Linked DNA regions of Xenopus tropicalis. The protein of the gene in region 2 purifies or fractionates together with the protein of the main gene of each other region. This does not show direct contact. Links are inferred from orthologs where the notes say so. Each region holds a gene or a part of one and is shown on either strand. Other genes may lie near its edges.

Region 1 (9,811 bases), on a different chromosome or scaffold from region 2:
CTCATATTGCCCCCCATCTGTACCTGTGCTAGCAGCAGCCAATCCCTCATATTGCCCAATTGCCCCCAATCTGTATATATGATAGCAGGCAGCCAATCCAAATTGTGTCTGTAACTGTGCCAGCAGCAGCCAATCCCTCATATTGCCCCCCATCAAAAAAAATTCTTTCCACTTTACCGTGCGCCCCTCAGTGATTGCGCCCTAGGCAGGCGCCTACTCTGCCTACCCCTAGTTCCGGCCCTGCCAGTGAGAATGCTGCACTATGCACTAAGCACTATGTCAGGCATCTTGCTGTTATCTTACAATTACAATAATTTTAACCTTCATTATATGACACTGGGATCAGACACAGGGATAAAGGACAGACTTGTTCAGTGCTATGAAACTGTGCTTAATGCTTCCAACTTCAACTGCAGGAAGAAAGAAAAAGGAGACAGATTTACACAGATCTGCTGGGATTCTCATTGGAGGATTTTTTACATTTTAAAGCAAAAGATTTGAGGAAAGGTTAAGAAATTTTTTTTTGTGTGCAATATTGCTTTAAGAATACAACCCTGGTGTTGCTAGACTACAGCTCCCAGCATATCTCACCCTTCATTATATGGTACATTATTCAGGGATTTGTAGTCCAGCAACAACTTTGGTTGAGCATTGCAGTGCAGCAGGGTTTACATAAAAGACCTGAATTGGAAGCTGAAAACAACACGCAAAGGCTAAATCCCATTCCCCTGCAGCTTTCTCCTCCATCTTTGCACTATGCCATGATTTACATATTTTATACTCTAACACAGTGCTGTCCAACTTGTTTCATGTAGTGGGCCAACTATATCTCATACAGCATGTTAGAGGGCCAGATTCACTTAAAATGATGATATCATATATTGAAGTCTATGGAGCCCTAGAGCAGACTGAGGGCCATAAAAATCATTTGGAGGGCCACCTCTGGTCTGCGGGCCTTCAGTTGGACAGCACTGCTTTAACAGTATATGTACAAGAGCATACATTATCAAAAAAGTGTAAGTTATAAAATTGCCACACCACTATACCACTTACATGGTGCTCCTAACTATTTACTTCCAGACATATTTTTTTAATAGGTGGCACGTCCCTGCATGGTTGCATTTCTTGGATGTGTCTCCTGGCCTGGGCATTAGTATCACAGGCTTACCTGTCCCATCTGTAGCTTTGTATGTTTTTAGTAAATAAGGCTAAATGCATTTGCCCACATATGCAGTAATAAATATTCCAGTCAGCTATATTCAAAGAAAAGTATCTTGTAATTGGCACTCAGTGATAAATGCTTTCTTGTGGGAAACCAAACTATGCGGTTAGTAATTTGTTAAAAAATACCCAGTGTTATGTTTCTTGCCTCAGGGCTTGTCCCGCTGTGGAATTGTTAAGAAATGAATCTGATCACGAGCAGCGCAGGTAAAAATCATAACATTACCTAATTTTCATCAAGCACAATAACAATGACCATTCTGTATATTTCGTTTTGTGTCCCTGTCCCTGCTATAGACAGAGCTACAAGGGTTATGATAACAATGCGTGGGTTTTGTGTGCACTTATTATTTTAATGTAAACTCTGCACATTATTTCCTGATTTTGATTAGTTTGTATATTTCAGAGAGCGCAGACACCTGAAGCCACAAGAATTTGATCTGGACATTCTGCAGTTTGTTTGCATATTAAAAAGTATGGTTTCCACTACATATTGCTTATTTTTGAACAGAGTAACATACTAGTAATTGCATTTATGTACAATTTATGTACACTTATCCCTTACCCTAGCAGGCACAAGGCTTAAAGGGGTTGCAAACCCAGTCATAACGCTGCCCCACTGTGTCCCCTAGTTTTGTTATAGAAGTTGCCAAAAAACATAATGAAATATTCACCAATGAGAATTATACTGATAAAGAATTTCTTATAGATGCAAAAGAACTGACCACTTTTATTATATGATACCTGTACTAGAATCAGACATGGAGATAAAGGACAGATTTGTTCAATGCTGTGAAATGCTTAAAGATTCCAACTCTAATTACGGGAACAAAGTACAGAGAGCCAGATTTACACAGATCAGCTGGGATTCTCATTGGAGGATTTTTTCATTTTAAAGCAGTTTCTCACTGTGGAGATTTGGGGATGAGTTCAGGAAACATTTTATTGTGCAATATTGCTTTTTAACCCTGCACTACAGCTCCCGGAATGCTTCTTGCTTCATAATATGTTACATTATTCTGGTATTTGTAGTCCAGTAACAACTGAGAAAAGTTTGGTTAAGCAGTGCAGCAGGGTTTACATACCGTTTAAGGGAAACCTAGCAAAAAACAAAAATGTAATGCTTTTCAGCTTTATCTCACTGAAATAATAAACTTTCCATATACAGGTATGGGATCCCTTATCCAGAAAGTTCCAAATTACAGAAAGGCCATCTCCCATAGACTCCATTATAAGCAAATAATTCTAATTTTTTAAAATGATTTCCTTTTTCTCTGTCATAATAATTTAGAACCTTGTACTTGATCTCAACTAAGATATAATTAACCCTTATTGGAGGCAAAACAAGCCAATTGGGTTCATTGAATACTTAAATGATTTTTAACAGACTTAAGTTATGGAGATCCAAATTTCAGAAAGATCCCTTATCCAGAAAACCCCAGGTCCCAACATTCTGGATAACAGGTCCCATACCTGTATTATCATTTAAACATATTGTAGCATTTCTGAAACGTGATCTTTACTGCCCCGCCCCAAGTAATCCATCACTTCACATGCAAGGTAAATGGTGAACAGAGTTATTGCACATCAGAGCTAACAGTCCATCGAAAATAATATGAAAAAGTTACTTCTACTTGTGGGGGACAGGGAACAGAAACTCGATTATTTCAGAAATGGTTTAGAATTTTGTATTGATTATGTTTGAAATATTTCTTTTTCCCATGAGTTGAAACTTAAATAGTTCTGCTTTAACATGTAACATACAAAATAAAAAAGCTGCAGCAATGCAAACCAATAATAAATGAACCCCCTGTGGTCCTCCAAGTCATGGGAAAAAAGTAATGGATATTTTGTCTCTAACTGAATTAGAAGGCTATCAAAATACAGCTGCAGGTTGACCACTGTTAGCTTTAATACTGAATAACACCCAAGGAAGGGGGGTAACATGGCAAATCAAGAAAGAGTGTTAAAAAAGAAGAGGAACGTGCAAGAGAAGAAATATAGTTCATCAGTTATTGCCAAACCTAGTGGGTAAAACAAACATGGAATTTAAAGTGCTGGTTTCCCTTCTTTTTGTGACTCTTTCCAACCTTCAAAATGATCTCAACGGCTAAAATGTTATTGTTATTGTTAGTTTGTATTCCTTATCTTACTATTAAAGCCCTCCTCTATTCATATTTCTGTCTCTCATTCAAACCACTTCCTGGTTGCTAAGGTAATTGGGACCCTAGCAACCTAAGAGCTGCTGAAATTCTAACTGGAGAGATACTGAACAAAAAGCAAAAAAATTGAAAAACTAAAAAAATTCAAATTGTCAAATTGTCTAAGAATTTTACTCCCTGCACCATACTAAAAGTTAACTCAAAGGTGAATTTAAATTCACAAAACAAAATGTACTATACAGATGTACAGTAATTGCAAAGACAGAAAATGGAGGTAGGTGTCCAGAAGGGTAAAGGGACTGCAAAAATGTGAATCCACTTAAAAATACAATGTTAATTATAAACTGCAATTTCCCAGAGGCACTCTGTACACACATTTTCTATTTAGATTTAGATCCTCTTTAAAAATTGACATTGAAAAGATACCACCAGGCCTCCCTTGCATTGTGGCACTGTCAGTTAAGGGCTCTGGCACACGGGGAGATTAGTCGCCCGCGAACAGGGAGTTTTGCCGCGGGCGACTAATCTCCCCGTGTGCCAGAGCCCTTAAACCCTGAGGAGGACTACACAAAATTAAGAAGGCTGAACTCAGCACATGTATAGACACATGTACTTTGTTAACAGCATTGCAGTGTGCACAATTTTGCATGCATTTTAGTGATTGGTACTTGCACTTTTACACTAGATGTTGTTAGAGATCATCAGATGCAACAGAGCATATTTACTAGTTGGAGAACCAGCTGCTACATCTTTCTGTTTTGTAACAACCCACAGAACTCCAGTCAATATCCGGGTGATAAAAATTCTTCACAGTTATGATACCCAGTTGATCATGACTGCATTCATTAAACAATGCTTATTAAAAGAGAATGTGTTTTAATTTCAAGTTTAATGTGTAAATAAGTACAATTGAAAGCAATGTACCACAAATAGCATCTAACTATAAAAAAACATGCTATACCATGGTAGAAATATAACAAATAATACAAATAATAATGTCAAAAGAATGAAAATAGAATAAAAGAAATAAATATTCATTCAAATAAGGAACTGCATTCCCTGAAAGTACATTTTTAACCCATTTAAATCATGTTTACAAACAAATCAGATTCTAAAAAGTTTGTACAGTGCCAGTGGATAAGCCAAACTGACAAAATGAAATCATTCACCTATTAGGTGTTGGTTTCCACCTTGTACTACAGCCTGGTTGTGTATGTCACATACATTTAAGGGCAGATTTATTATGCGGTGTAAAGAACGGTGCCAAATAAACAGGTTTCACCGTATAACAAAACAGTGTAATGTTTTTTTTCTTTCAGTGACTTCCACTGCAACTTACACAAGGTCGGAAGTGGCGTAAGATATGGTGTCAAATCTGGTGTTCCGACAATGTAAAAAGACACCTTTATAAATTCGCTATTTATTTCACATGGCTTTTTACACCATTTCTTTGGTTAATTTCACTTTTCACAGCATAATTAAAGGGCCCCTCATTTTAGTTGCATCATCTGTAAAGAGCAATTTTAGCATCTCTTCAGTGACAGCACTTCTGTTGTTTTAACCTTATCAGAGCTTAAAAGGTCAATAGACTTTGGAAACTGTTGTAACTGAGCCCAGTTAATCTATTAAGAGGCTGTGCATATATAGACGTAACATTTAGATACCCTGTGGTTTGTGGATTAACTGAACACATGCCCTTTATCTCTACTGGTTTTCGTCATTGCCCAGTTCTGCCTGCTCTTTCATTTCCGCCTCTGGGTCTCCAGGAAGAATGCTTCTTGTTGTCTGAATTAGCTGCTCAATTTGTTCCTCTGTTAGCCTTTCTTCGCTCTCCTCCACCATCTGTTTTGTAATAAGAGTTTTGATAAAGTGAATTTACAGCAAAATGAGTAAAAAAAAATAATACAGCTCTACCACAACATTACTTATCATGCTCAGCAAAACCTACTACTTCCTATCCAATGATGTTGCAAACTGCAAAGAAAGCTTATTATTAAGTACCATTCTGCAGGCTTGATACCTTCAAAATAGTGTTTGAGGTTTGCCATATTCTAAATAATTTCAAAGCACTATACAATATCAGTACTAAATAACATGTCCATTGCTGCTCTGTGGACAGTTACAGCTAAAAGTGTAGCGTTGCAAACTTCAGCTATCTCCACTGTGCTAAATTCACACCCTTCCAATCTTCCTATGGCAGTATTTCTTTACCTTTTTTTGTTACCTTCCTCTAGCATGAGGGGACAATTGAACAAATGTCAAGCATTTGAATAGCTTCTGTTATAAAAAGGCTTCTATTGCACGCAACCATTAAGGACGAGTTTGCTACCCATTTGCTAAATGAATGTATCTGAGGGTTTAAGGCAGGGGTCAGGAACCTTTTTGGCTGAGAGAGCCATAAACACCACATATTTTAAAATGTAATTCCGTGAGAGCCATACAATATGTTTGGCCGCGGATGCTGCGGGGCAAGGTAGGGTAGGTCCCGAGGATGCGGATGCGATGCAGAAGAGGGCGTAGCCTGCGCTTGGCGGATAGAAGACGTGTTCAAAGGCTTAGAACACGTCTTCTATCCGCCGAGCGCAGGGGCAGGGTAGGGTGGGTGCCAAGGATGCCGGATGCGATGCTGAGGAGGGCGTGGTCTGCGCTTGGCGGATATAAGACGTGTTAAGGCTTAGAACAGGTCTTCTATCCGGCGAGCGCAGGCCACACCCCCGTTATTTTTTAATTAAAGATTTGGCAGTGAGCCAGATGCAGCCATCAAAAGAGCCACATCTGGCTCCCGAGCCATAGGTTCCCTACCCCTGGTTTAAGGGCTATGCCACATGGGTCTGATTCTCAGCAAGTGGAAAAACACTTGGCAAGAATCAGCCCCTCCACTCTTAAAATCCTTAAGTTGTGCATGCACCCAGAAGCATTGAATCTGCCTGAGTGTAGGCGCACCCATATTATTTCTGCTGAAACTGCATATTCGAGCAGTTTCGCCCAGAAGTACACTGTGTGTGCCTGTACCTGAGCAAATTTGGTGCTTCCAGGTGAAGGTACAACTTAATGATTTTAAGAGTGGAGAGGGCTGATTCTCAGCAAGCATTATTTTGCCCTATAATATAATAAGCCCTGTGAGCATAGACCTAAGGCTGATGTCACACATAGGGGCACATTTACTTATCCACAAACGCTCCAAGCATTTGTTCGATCAGTCCAATCGTATTTTCCGTGACTTTTTCATATTTTTAGCGTGAAAAAATCAGAACGGTTTTGCCGCTGTTTATAATCGTTCGGTACGAACATTTCGTGACATTCGGATCGCTAATACAATATTATTGTGACTAATACGATTTTTTCTTAAGCATTTTTGTGACATTTGCGATCTTCAGAAATTTTCGTTTCCAATCCGAATTTTTCCCATTCGGGATTCGAACTTGTGTTTTGATAAATCTGCCCCATAGTGTATGGCGTATATTTTTGGCAAGCAGAAAAACGCTTGCCGAAAATATTGCCATACGCTCCTACCTGTGCCTGCACCTGAATGAATGAGATACACTCGGGTGCAGACACATGTAGCCGGTATCCGCCAAAAAACGAAAGACTTCGTATCTTCGGCGGATATCGGCTACATGTGCCTGCACCTGAGCGTATCTCATTCATTGTGGTGCAGGCACAGGTAGGAGCGTATGGAAATACATTTTTCCGTGTGGCATCAGCCTTAGGCTGATGCCACACGTGGCGTTTTTCCGCTGCGTTTTTTCTCAGCCTAAAAACACTGCGCAACCCACACAGCCCCTGACTATGGCGTTTTTCACCCTAGTACTGGTGACGTAAGCAAATCCCGTTTCCATGGTGCTAATAGTGTGAAATAGCAAAAAACGCTGTGTATTTCCGCTAGGTCTGGCAGCTGCCTTTGCGTATGCATAGGAATAGCTTGCTTTGCAAATACTGGCGTATTTCGGCCAACGCTTGAAAAATCCGTGCCAAGGTGTTTTCTAGCGTATTTTGGCATTGTGTGGTTTGCTTCGCGTCTTTTCAAGTTATTTCTATGGATGATGATATCAGGCGTTTTTCAGTCGCCGAGAGAATTAGAAAATACGCAGCGGAAAAACGCCACGTGTGGCATCAGCCTTAGGCACTATTAGCACCATGGAAACGGGATTTGCTTACGTCACCAGTACTAGGCTGAAAAACGCCATAGTCAGGGGCTGTGTGGGTTGTGCTGCGTTTTTAGGCTGAGAAAAAACGCAGCGGAAAAACGCCACGTGTGGCATCAGCCTTAGTAAGCGATTGTTTAAGTAAAATAAATGTGACACAGCTGAACAACTTTTTTTTATTATTATTATTAGATAATTACAAGAAACATTGAGAAAATAAGCAAAATCCCAACAAGGATTAATAATGACATAATATAAACAATACAGTTCAGTGAACATTTCAGAACAGTATTTTACAAATGACAAGGTATGAAAAGATAATGAAGGAATAACATAGATCGCTATTAAGCATGTGTCTAAGAATAAAATTAAATATAGTAATTCTTATTACAATTAGACAGGCTAGTAAGAGTTTGTAAGCATTCATGGAACTATGGTACATAGAGTAATGAGTCCAAATGAGATCTATCCTTGGGACAAAGGGTATTTATATGAAGTTTCCATTTAGACAAGTATCTTGTATGGTTTTTTGTGTTACTAAATTTGAAGGCAATGGCTTCATTTTTACATAAAACTTGTAACTCAGTAATGACCTCTGATAAAAAATGGTGGGTTTGAATCTATCCATTTCTTGAAGAGAATCCTTTTTGCTGCAGCTAGTATAAGGTTCAAGTAGTTTATGGAGTAGGAAATGTTTCCTAATTTAGGTTGAAATGAATGAGACACTTGCATTAAATCTTCTGAGAAGTTTAATAGGGCGCATTTTGAAGTCAGATGGTAATTAGAACCCAAAGTAGATTTTAGATGGCTCTCAAGTTCTTTCCAAAAACTACTGATATGAGGGCATTCCCATAATAGATTAATTATATTTGGAAGCGGTATGCTACATTTAGGACATTTATTAAGGAAATTCTTATTCTTAGAGTCAAAATTAAAACCTTTATATGCTAGATGAATAAGACTATAATTTTGTTCCCTCCAGACTTCCGTATGAATGAGTTTTTCAAAACGCTTTATACAATAGGTTAAGACTTCCGGTGAAATTTCTGTATGAAGATAGGTGGACAATTTTTTTGCAGTCAAATCCAATGGATGACATTTGAGACTTATTCCATATTAAAGTTTGTATAGATCGGATTCTGTTACAGGATTGAGAAGCCATAAGCATATCCAGAGCAGTAGTAAGAAGTGGATTATACATTGATAAAGAATCTAGATGGATATGGTGATGAAACCAATGAGCAATTTGGAGATAATGTAATTTTTCTTTTTCATAAATTTGATATTTATTGATGAAGTCTTTCCAATCAAGAATTGTATTAAACGATGGTGAAATAATATCTTTTATATGCTGCATTCCTTTTTGTTTCCATATGGTAGAAATAGGAGGATACCATGAGCTGGATAGTGTAGAAATCTTCACTAGAGGTAGGTATGGAGTCGAGATATAACTGGATTTGTATGACTTATGCATAAGTTTCCAAACTGCAAACGCAACTCTAAATAATTGCTGCCAATATCTGAGTAGTTGGGGCTGAATATAATAAATGAATTAAGTCAATGAAATGACCTTGAAAACCAAAAGCTTCTAGCGCGTCAAATATGTAGTCCCAGCAAATATTGTCAAAAGCTTTCTCTGCATCTATACCCACCAATGAGATTGGAATTTTATTAGTTTTAGCTGAGTAGATGACTTTAATTAAGGTTCTTAAGTTTTTAGTTCCCGATCTCCCCTTCACGAATCCACTTTGTTCTGGGGAGATGATCTTTGGGAGTTGATTTGAGCAATGGGTCTGTACGAGGATGTAATGGTTGGATGAATTGAGACTGGAGGGTAAAAATTGCTTTTGATTAATGATGAAATTATATAATTCTCTAAGAAAAGGTGAAATTTCATTAAGTAAACACTTATAGAAAGGTCCAGATAGACCATCTGATCCTCCAGCTTTGTATTTCTTCAGTGATGATATCGTAAATCTTACTTCTTCTTCAGTAATTGGAGAGTTTAAGTTATCCAGATCTGTTTGAGATATTTTGGGAAAAGTTATGAATTGTTGAATTAGTAGAGGAGTATAAGATCTCGTAATATTTCCTGAAAGTCTCGGCAATCTCCAATGGGTTATGAGTGAATTTATCATCAGTTGACCTGATAGCGCTAATTTTATGAGCCTTTGACCAATTTTTTGTCATATTGGCTAGGAGTTTATTAGCTTTGTTGCCCTTTACGGAATTTTCAAATTCCTTACGGTTGTCTGGAGATGGGGTTGATTTGAAAGCAATGTA
Region 2 (10,715 bases):
CATTCTGAAATTGAAATAAAGTGCCGGTGGGTATCACAATCTATGTGTGTTATAACTGATAAATATCTATAATGAATAACGTGACCAGTGCTTTTTGCTTTAAATTACCATAAAGTGACCGTGTCATAAAAACCTGTGCATTCTGCACTGCATTCAGCCATGTAGCATCAGCTATGACAAATGTAACCTTATTTTTGCAGCATAATTTCCAACGACCCCTGAGGTTTCCTTCTTTACAGTATCCAACAGCACACTGAGCATGTGCAGTGCCACTGACACTCAAAAGATGGCCTAACAAGACCCCAAGAATGGGAGGTTGCTGTATACAAATTCGAAAGCATGGATCATTGCAGTTATAGGGCTGCTGAACCAAAGGTATTTTACTGTATTGTTAGTTAATGTAAATGTATTGCTAGCCATGTTCTTGTTTACCCTTCTATTTTCCTACATGTTTAAGGATAGCATGTTCAGCTTTCAAGTGCTGCCAGTTTACGCCAACTCCTCACCTTAACCAATGGGGAGCAACTGTGAAGTGAAGCAACCTAGGGTGCAAGTTCCCAGAGTGAGCGAGACGACATGGGCATGCACATAACATAACTGGGGGTAGTGTGCCTGGGGAGTCACAGACATGCATGAGAAGTAGACCGGGGAGATTAAGTAAAACTGCATGGGGGGCTGGTAAAAAATCAGGCATTTGCATTAAAAACCACACGCCCATATGATTCTATTGCTTTACTTGCCCTTGCAACAATAAATGATATAGTGCTTTTTAGGGCAACCAAATAGAGCCAAGCTAAACACACCTTTCTTGGGAGCAGCGGGCTTGATGAAGTACGGGAGAGTCTTCATGGCTCCTCGGAGTTCTTGTTTCAACGCCAGCATATATTCCACCTCCTCCCCTGTCTGCAGGGGTACTGGTTTGTATTCCAGGTTCTGAACAAAACAACAAAGAGAGTAGGATGATATACACAGTGTATAGCTCTTAATGGAGAAGAAAAGATGAAATCACAGAGGGGGTGCCAAATGTTAGGCACCCCCCAGTAATTATAATTACTTACCTGATACCCCACGCTGGTGCTCCTGTTAGCAGAAAACTGCAGCAGCCTGGGGTACTTCAGACCTAGCACCACTGCATTATCTACATCTTGTTTCTTCTTCACTTCAGTAAAGTGAAAAGCCAAGTTTGCTTTTTCACACACATGCACACATGCACCCTGGGTGATTGAGGAATGAAGAAGTGAAAGAAGAGGATTGTTCTGTGGTGCTTGCTCAGAGTACCCCAGGGCAGAGCAGTTTTATACTAAATGGACCACCGGCCCAGAGTATCAGGTAAGTCATTATAATCACTGAAGGGAGTGCCCCCCCCCCCCCAGTAATTTAACCATTCCTTGTCCTTTAAAAAGAAACTGCAGGGAATGTTTAACAAAACTGTTGTACATAGAGTTGCTGCATGAATTTCTTTTGAGTTCCGCAACCTAACATGTTTCCCAGCTGTAAACAACACACCCTACTGTCAGTCACTGACAGGTAAAGTCCAGTCTGATTCCAGCATGAGTATGCAATGCACTACTGACACACAGCATGGCTGGGTTTTCTTTCAAGTGAAAAAAGTTAGGAAAGTAAGGAAAAAATAATAAAACCTATTAGTACAAAAAAATGAATAAAGACCTAATACTATCCAGGTAAGTAGCATTTAAACCCATGACAAATGAAAAATAAGCCTATGTATATTCTATAAACATAACAGTATAACTAAAAGGCCATTATACCTTAGGGAAGGCCACATGTATCTCACTTGTAAAGGGCCCATAGTAGCAAACAGGTGGATGGCAGGCACAGGGGTGGGCAACTGGGCACTGTAATGAAAAATGCAGACCCTGATCCTGCCACCCAACAGGCAAAAAGTCAGAAAGCAATAGAAGGCAGTGCACAATGGGCAGACAGGGAAAACAGATACTAAAATGCTAAGATATGGATCAGGAGCCTGTAGTTCACTGCTTCTTGCTGAAATTCAGTCTGCTGACTCCAATAACACATATCAGCAGTCAAAAATATGGGGAGTTGTGGTTTAGTTACAATATGTTCCCCACTCATGCCTATTTTGGTACATTTCTATACATAGCATGTACACTTTAAAGGAAAGTAAGTAAAAAATCTATTCTACCCTGCTCCAATAATTGCCCTATCCTGCACACCATTTATTATTTTGAATGCTTTATTAGAAAATTTCTGCTAAAACCCGGCTTCCGGTCATTTGAAATAAGGCGATACGGCGATGTAGAAGCAGAATCCACTACGCGACGATCAATCCTAGCCTTCCTTCTGTATAGGAAGGAGTCAGGCAAGGATCGATCAAAGGAGTCAGGCTGTGATCGATCAATTCTGCTTCTGCATCGCCTTATTTCAAATGACCGGAAGCCAGGTTTTAGCAGGTATTTTCTAATAAAGCATTCAAAATAATAAACGGTGTGCAGGATAGGGCAATTATTGGAGCAGGGTAGAATAGATTTTTTTACTTAAAAATTTTTAGTGTTACTTTTCCTTTAATACCAAAGCTGTATAGAGCTTAACTTACCGGGAACAACGGGGGAGGTTGGAGAGTGGGTGGCGGCAGTGCTTCCCCTCTGGTAATTCCAACAGCTTCTACATTAAAGGTCAGTTGGCCCCGACCGCTACCTCTGCCTTTTCCAGCCATCTTGTGCTATGCCCAAGAAACAGTAGAATAACCTAGCCTGGGTATAAGAGATATCAACATCACCTGACATTTTGTATATGTTGTTGTATATTTTGTTTTTGTATATATCTCATGACTTCCTTCATGTAGTGTATAGCAATCCAACAATGTTCCACCATCCAGTAAAAAGGCTTCCCAGAAGAATATGGGTTGGTATAACAGATAACATATTCATATTAATACCCTTGGCTAAAGATCTCAAAGGGCTATTCCACCAAACCCACAGACTTGTATTTCTACCCACTTGGACCCACTTCTCACTATAAAACTGGAAGCTTTATCATCAGACCAAAAATGTGGTCGTCATAAACTCAGAAGTAAACTCATCCAGGAGCAAGGGGAGGTGGCAAGTAAGGAAAAGGAACCCAGCAAGGCAGCGACCCATTGCCACATCTGCTTTTCTTGGCTGCAACTGGCCAAATACCTGTGTTTCTTCAGGTAAGATGGACTATACTTTTGGTTTCATTAAAATAATGTGGAACTATGATTAAGTGTGTTTTTGGGCACAATATGTGTAAGGTTGTAGAGATAATGTTATAAACAGAGATTTTGACTACTATTTTGTGCCCTTTGTGGATAAATTGGATTACCCATCACCTATTTTTGCTTTGTTATGGTCTTTCTGCTTCCCTGAGCTAAAGGTCAGTAGCACCCAGACTGCTTTCTTGAATTGGTATGTCTTCTACATAGATTTGTGCTTTGGTGCCCTTCTGTTTTGTTTTGTTTTAATTAACAGAGACAGTGGACAGGTAGATGTCCAGATACTTGTGGTCATCCAACACTGGGTTTAACTTTTAGTGCTCATCATCTATTTTTACTTTGTTATGATAGCCTGTCGGCTTCCCTGAGCTAAGGACCTGGAGCAGCAGGACCACTTCTTTTTTTGTTTTGTTTAAATTCATTAAATAATGGACAGGTAGGTGTCCAGATACTTTTGGTAATATAAGGTATCACTTGGGCTAACGTTCCCTTTAAAGGGGTTGTTTGCCTTCAATGTCTAATTTTTAGTAAACCACCAACAATGCTTGCAGCATTTTACATAAAAAAAGTACAAAGGCCACTGAAAAAGCTACTTTTTATACCTTTAAATCAGTCCTCATTCTGTCTCTCTGATCAGTTTTCTGAAGGGATGGGAGTGGCCTATTTAGAACCTGACACACTGAGAACTTTCCTATATCAGTGATCCCCAACCAGTGGCTCGGGGCCAACATATTTCTCACCAAACCCCTTGGATGTTGCTCCCAGTGCCCCCAAACCAGGGAGTTATTTTTGAATTCCTGACTTGGGGGCAAGTTTTGGTTGAATAAAACAGAATTTACTACCAAATAAAGCCCCTGTAAGCTGATAGTGTGCATAGAGGCTGCCTAATAGCCAATCACAACCCTTATTTGGCTCCTCCATGAACTGTTATGGTGCTTGTGTTGCTCCTCAAGTCTTTTTACATTTGACTGTGGCTCATGAGTAAAAAAAGCTTGGGGATCCCTTTCCTATATGCGTAAATCATCACGTCCAGGCTTTGCCTTTACTTTTGGACCAATTAACTGGTTGCTTTTGAACTCTAACCAGTTGCATAAATTGAAAAGTTGGTTAATTTATCACTTTAAATGGCATAGGCAAATAGACTTAGCAAATCATAAATATAACATACTGTTATGATAGATTTGCAGCACTCTATCACAGGCACAGGAAGCAGTGTCAGACTGACAGGAGACACAGCCAATAGGAGTTAAGTACACTGCAAGCACTATCCATGACATCATATAATAAAGTAAAAAAGACTGTAGGGTTTATAGGGGTCACTGACCCCCTCCCAAAGCACAGGGTCTGTGCAGAAGTTAAGAATCAGCAGAAGGATGATTCTGAGGTGAATATAACTTCACCTGCATATTATTTGTTAACTATGTATATGGCAAAGCTTGTTCTTTTAATGTGAACTGTTAGAATTGTGAATGTTGTACAAAGGTGCTCCATGCAATGTTTAAGCACCATCTGTCTGTATCTAAAAGATTAGACAGCAATGCTTCCAGAATAGGAGAGCACCGTATCAGCATAATGAGCTAACAGTGTATATGCGTGCAATTACCTTTACAAAAAAGTGCCTCAGAGCTGCCACTTTCCTACATGGTCAGCACTGCATTACCAGGTGGGGAATCCTTGTCCTCTTCCCATGTCAGCTGTTTGGTGCTTTCGACATGTTTAATTTCGGGTCTCAAAGAGCCTAAAAACATAAAAGGACTTCGTGTAAGTTGCTAATTAGTGAAAATACTATTCCTACCCCCATCTCTGAATAAAAAAACTTGGTTACAGCAGTTGCCATTTGATGTTTACCCCATATACATGACAGCAGCACGCAGCATATAAACCAGGGGTAGGAAAATATGTGGGTACATGCCCTCATTTTTAAGTCTTGAATTTTAAGTAAGGCCTTTAAAGGAAAAGGAAAGGTAAAAAACTAATATCAGAAAGGTCTATGTAAATACAGCCATAAGCACTCACAGAAACGCTGCACTGAGTCCTCTATCAAAAGAAACACAGGATTTCTTGTCTGTTTTCCTCTGCTACAGACACGCAGCTCTCTCCTGCTCCCTCCTCCCTCAAGAATGCTAAGAACTCACTTCCCTCCCCCTTAAGGTCCCCATACACGGCCGATAGAAGCTGCCGATATCGGTCCCTTGGACCGACTCGGCAGCTTATCGGCCCGTGTAGGGGCAGAAACGAGCGGAATGGCCGACCGATATCTGGCCTGAAATTGGCCAGATAACGATCGGCCAGGTTAGAAAATCCCGTCGGATCGGGGACCGCATCGGCTCGTTGATGCAGTCCCCGAACCGACTGCCCCATTGCCGCGTGCAGAATTCGATCGTTTGGCCCCAGGGCCAAATGATCGAATTCACCTACATGCCTCCCTGATATCGCCACCCGTGTATGGCCAGCTTTAGGAATGAGGATCTGCGCCAATCAGCAGGAAGCTTCCTCATAGTCTTACTAACTGAGCATGTACACTGGTCTTGGTGCAGGAGCGAGGCATTACAAATCTCAGTTTTTTTTTTTCCTATGAGGCTTCTGATCATCTGAACGGGAGAAATATAGGGAGACTTAAGGGCACTATTGAGAGAACCGACGGTATGCCTGCAGCTTGAGATTAACTCTTTATTAGCCTTTCCTTCTCCTTTAATGCAGTTGTATGTTCTGCACAGTGTGTGCTGCATGTATGCTGTGTTGTGGCCACACATGGCTTAATAATGAACAGGCCATAAACATAGTAAACAATCTAAAGTCTAGTGGGAACTCCAGTCCTGACATGGGAGTCATGGAAGTAAGTTTACCCCCAGAATGAAAAATTAACCAATAGACAGATTATATTATATTAAGTGACCTATTAAAGAATCTCCCCAAACTGGAATATATATATCAGTACATATTTCCCTTTTACATCCTTTCCCTTGAGCCGCCATTTAGTGATGGGCTGTGTGCTCCCTCAGAGATCAGCTGACAGGAAATAAAGCAGCTCTACAGGTTGATCTGTGCCAAATCAGCAATTATAAATAAAATAGAGTTCCCTCTAAGCCATGGGCCCCAATGAGGGTTGCCACCTGACTGGTAAAAATGCCATTGCACGCAACAAAGTGCGATACACAAAGATTTTTTTTTTCTTATTGCAACCCTTCTCCTTCTGTGCCTACAGAATTTGCCAAATGTGCAGACAAAATATAATTTGAAAAGAGACTAGAGGGAACACTACTTCGTTGTAGCGCTACAGCAACAAAGCCGAAATCATCATTTTCTACACAAATGTTTATAACATTGATATTATAGGTATTTTTCGTCTTACTGCACGCTTCCCCACCCGCAGAATGCAACTTTTATAGCGCATAGTGATGACGTACACAATAGCCACGCCCACAAGGCTACCGCCGTGTGGTACCACCAGCCAATGACTGAGGAGATTGGGGGCGGGGTGAAGCACGGCGGAACAAGTCATTGGGAACTGGCAGTTGCCATAGTGACAAGGCGCTGCGAAAACCTTTATTGCGCAAGAAAATGCAAACATACCGGCCAGCAGTCGCGATTTTTATAACACGGGCCGCATTCCCGTATCAAGGTTTTAAAATTCTGCTGCGTCCTTGACATTTGTATTTTAGCTCTCGGAAGTCGCAAGTCTCATCTCGCGAGATTATGACGTCACTTTAACATTATATAAGGGGGTGAGGCATCGTATAGCGGCATTGCGAGAATGGCGAGCAGTGTGAATGTGTGTGATAGTTGTGCAGAAGTGCAAGCTGTTAGTAATGCGCAGTAGTGGGGTTGGGATAACAGGAGGCTACTCACAAGTGTTAGTTATGAGGCTATTTTGTCGAGGGAAAAAATATTCTTTCTGTTGGGATTACTAGTCTTTCCTACTTGCCCAGGGCTTTAGGTCATAGTGTTTGGCCAAGACTAAGCCTATGCTAACTGCTATTAATGGCTTGGTCACTTTTTTACTTGAGGGGTAAAGGCACTAGTCCAATAGTCAATCTTTTCCTACATTTGACATAAAAAGGGCTTTTTTTTTTTTTTTTTTTTAAAGGAATTTTATTCATACTTTTCTATTAATTTGGCTTAAAAGAAGAGTTTCAGTGCAAATGAGCCATATTTTTTTACAATTTGGAAGGAAGCCAGGGGCACTTTAAGTAGACAATGGGTGAAATTACCCAAAAGTAACAATTTACAGTTAATTTGTTCTAACTTCAAGGTGTTGATTCTGGAGTAGAACGTTCTAGGTGCTGACAGGGTTTTCCCACAAATGGTTTCAATAAAGCGGCTGTTCCTGTTACCCCAAAACAAGCTGCTCCTTTTTGTTGTTTTATGTTAAGCCTAAGAGCAATATATTTTACAATGTAGGAGTAGATTATGGTCTGATATACGAGAAGATAATAGGTGAAATACATATTAACAATAAGCTTTAGTTTTTGGGTTATTTTAACCCTTTAAGTGCCAGCCGAATTCGTCATTTCGGTTCCCCCCAGTGCCAGACGTTTTTTAAGCATTTTGTACTCATTCACTTTAACAATGTTTTTTGGTAGGAAAACCTCCATGAAACTAGGGAAATTATATATCGTTTTTTTCGTCACTAATTGGGCTTCGACATACATACCAAATTTTATAACTTTTCTGGAGATATGATGTGTATTTTGGGTGAAATATGTAAAAAAAAAAAAAAAATTATGAAAAATTTCTGTATATTTTGAGGTTTTTTTCCATAGAAAAGTTAATTTTGCACAATTTTTTTTGTCGTTTGTAAAAGCCCTGATGAAATCGGTGGTCAGAGCCCTGGATCCACCAATGTCACTGCAAAAGCAACCTTTTTGGGGCACTAAACACACAATAAAGAACAATGCAAAGATAAAACACCATAAAATCAGTAAAATCCAATAAAACCACCTAAACCAACAGAAGAACAATAATTGCAATGAAATTGGTGGTCAGAGCCCTGGATCCACCAACGTCACTGCAAATTCAGCACCCAATAGCAATAAAAAAAGTTACAATACAATACAATAATAAAAAAACAAATCAATTATGAAAATGCCAAAAAAACACTAAAATGCAACCAAATAAATCAGATAATTATAGAGCAAGATCAGAAATAAAGTTTTAGTAAAAAAAAAAAGACTGCCAAAGAAAGCAAAGAAAGAAAGAAGAGAAAAGAAAGATAGAAAAAAAAAAAAAAGTGTAAGTGTGTGTGTAAGTGTCTGTGTGTGCTTGGGAAAGTTGTAAATAAGTGTGTATGTGTGCAAAAGTGTAATAATGACAAAGATAGAAGAAAAAATTGAAAAAAAAAAAAAATTTTAGACAGTTGAGATAGAAATAAGCAAAATAAACAGTGGTAGAGAGTTGTAGTTCAGCTTACCCAAGGCAGGCAGGCGATCAGGGGCGACCAATCTGGCAGGAAGGCAGCAGGGGAGCTCCATCAGGTCCGAAGTGCGCAGCAGGAATGAGGAGCCGACAGTAGGCGGCGCTATTTAAAGGGACAGCAGTGGACACGTCATCATCGCGTGTCCACTGCTGTCATTGGCTGGCGACGCGATCGGGGGACCGGATCGGTGAGTATGACTGTCTTTGCTCGTTGCCTAGGGGGTTGTGAAGGGTTTACAAGCGCTGCGCTGCTTTAAAAGCCAGCGCAGCGCTTGTAAACCTGATAGTGCTGTAGGACGTAGATTCTACGTCCTGTGGCACTTTGGTCCTTTGCTACCCAGGACGTAGAATCTACGTCCTATGGCACTAAAAGGGCTAATGGTGTGGGAGCCTCCCAGGGGCAGGTTTTTCACAGTTCATGGACAAAAAGGGCTATTTTAGGTGAAGACGATTAGTAAAAATGACCCAAAAATAGGTTTTTTAGGCTCTTTTTTTAACTGCGGCACTATGATGTTCTCTGTGAGGGAGGCCTCTATCACCCCCTCTAATCTTACATGTTGGAAACTGACACAGATCAGCGACACTCCACACTTTATTTTATGGCAGGGATCCCCAACCTTTCTTTGAGGTTTGAGCCACAGTCAAATGTTAAAAGACTTGGAGAGCAACACAAACATAAAAGTTAATGGAGGAGCCAAATAAGGGCTGTGATTGGCTATTAGGCAGCCTCTATGCACCCTATCAGCTTACAGGGGCTTTATTTGGTAGTAAATCTTGTTTTTATTCAACCAAAACTTGCCCCCAAGTCAGGAATTCAAAAATAACTACCTGGTTTGGGGGCACTGAGAGCAACATCCAAGGGGTTGGGGAGCAACATGTTACCCCTGAGCCACTGGTTGGGGATCACTGTTTTAGGGGTTCAAACAGGGTAGAATGGCTAGGGGGGGACAAAAAAAAGCAAGAACCAGTTGCAATCAATAAGGTGTACAGCCCACTTCTGTCAAATAGTCCAGTGGTACAGCGCCCCCAGTGGTGTCCCTAAATTAACTGTACAGAGCCCTGCTTGAGCAGGTCACAGATCAGCAGTGCAGAGTTCATATTAAAGACTTGGCACAGGTTAGAAGCACACTGTTCTCTTGGTACAATCTGCGGGGCAGCGTTCACCTTAAAGGAATACTTGAAAATTTTTTTTTTCATAAAATGAAATTTTATTTTGAAATTTCACATGGGGCTAGCCATATTCTTCTTTTCCCAGGTGCCTTCAGCCATGTGACCTGTGCTCTGATAAACTTCAGTCACACTTTACTGCTGCGCTGCAAGTTGGAGTGATATCCCCCCCCTCCCAGCAGCCGATCAGCAGAATAATGGGAAGGGAGCAAGATAGCAGCCCCCTAGTAGGTATCAGAATAGCACTCAATAGTAAGAAATCCAAGTCCGGCTTGGGACTCCTCCAGTTACATGGGAGTAGGAGAAACAATAGGTTAGCTGAAAGCAGTTCTAATGTGTAGCGCTGGCTGAAAGCTCAGACTCAGGCACAATGCACTGAGATGGCGCCTACACACCAATATTAAAGCTAAAAATACATTTGTTGGTTCAAGAAATGGCAGAGGGAATTATTTGCTATGTAAACAGTGTAATTTAGAAGTAAAAATGTTGACAGAATCTCTTTAAACCAACCCACAAATTAACAGTACCTGAGAATATCCTTGCAGACTTCCAGCAGTACACAGCCCTCCTTGGGGTAGGGGATCCAATCAGCAGTTGGAGAGAGTCTCCCTACAGGTCCAAGGAGGAGCCAAAGAGGGTTGTCCTGCCCTCAGCCTGGGTAAACCCCAGAGGCTGTGAAGAACCACAACTACTCCCACTTTCCAGACAATTAAAACTTTCATCCGGGAAAGGGAGGGATTTTGCCAGACCCCCTGGGGTAAACTGGTTTGTCCACTTTGTGTCTCTAGTGCAGTGTTTTTCAACCTTTTTTGGACAAAGGCACACTTGTTTCATGAAAAAAATCACGAGGCACACCACCATTAGAAAATGTTAAAAAATTTAACTCTGTGCCCAGCAGCAGTGCCCCCCTAGTACATTG

The links.
Region 1: the proteins of polr3gl (region 2) and crcp purify together in Homo sapiens (co-immunoprecipitation; 3 studies listed by BioGRID and IntAct, counting the BioPlex papers as one, with this or other methods). This does not show direct contact. The link is inferred for Xenopus tropicalis from reciprocal best matches to the Homo sapiens genes POLR3GL and CRCP.

Annotation. Positions count from the first base shown.
Region 1 is NC_030678.2:97,799,537-97,809,347, forward strand, and holds the end of crcp (DNA-directed RNA polymerase III subunit RPC9), read right to left. Parts: intron 9,549-9,811; coding exon of another isoform or gene 9,539-9,548; exon of another isoform or gene 7,693-9,538; intron 5,226-7,692; coding exon 5,088-5,225; 3' UTR 4,254-5,087; downstream 1-4,253. UniProt on the Homo sapiens protein: DNA-dependent RNA polymerase catalyzes the transcription of DNA into RNA using the four ribonucleoside triphosphates as substrates.
Region 2 is NC_030684.2:128,425,597-128,436,311, reverse strand, and holds the start of polr3gl (DNA-directed RNA polymerase III subunit RPC7-like), read right to left. Parts: upstream 6,596-10,715; 5' UTR 6,567-6,595; intron 4,953-6,566; 5' UTR 4,818-4,952; intron 2,733-4,817; 5' UTR 2,696-2,732; coding exon 2,576-2,695; intron 934-2,575; coding exon 804-933; intron 1-803. UniProt on the Homo sapiens protein: DNA-dependent RNA polymerase catalyzes the transcription of DNA into RNA using the four ribonucleoside triphosphates as substrates. Specific peripheric component of RNA polymerase III which synthesizes small RNAs, such as 5S rRNA and tRNAs.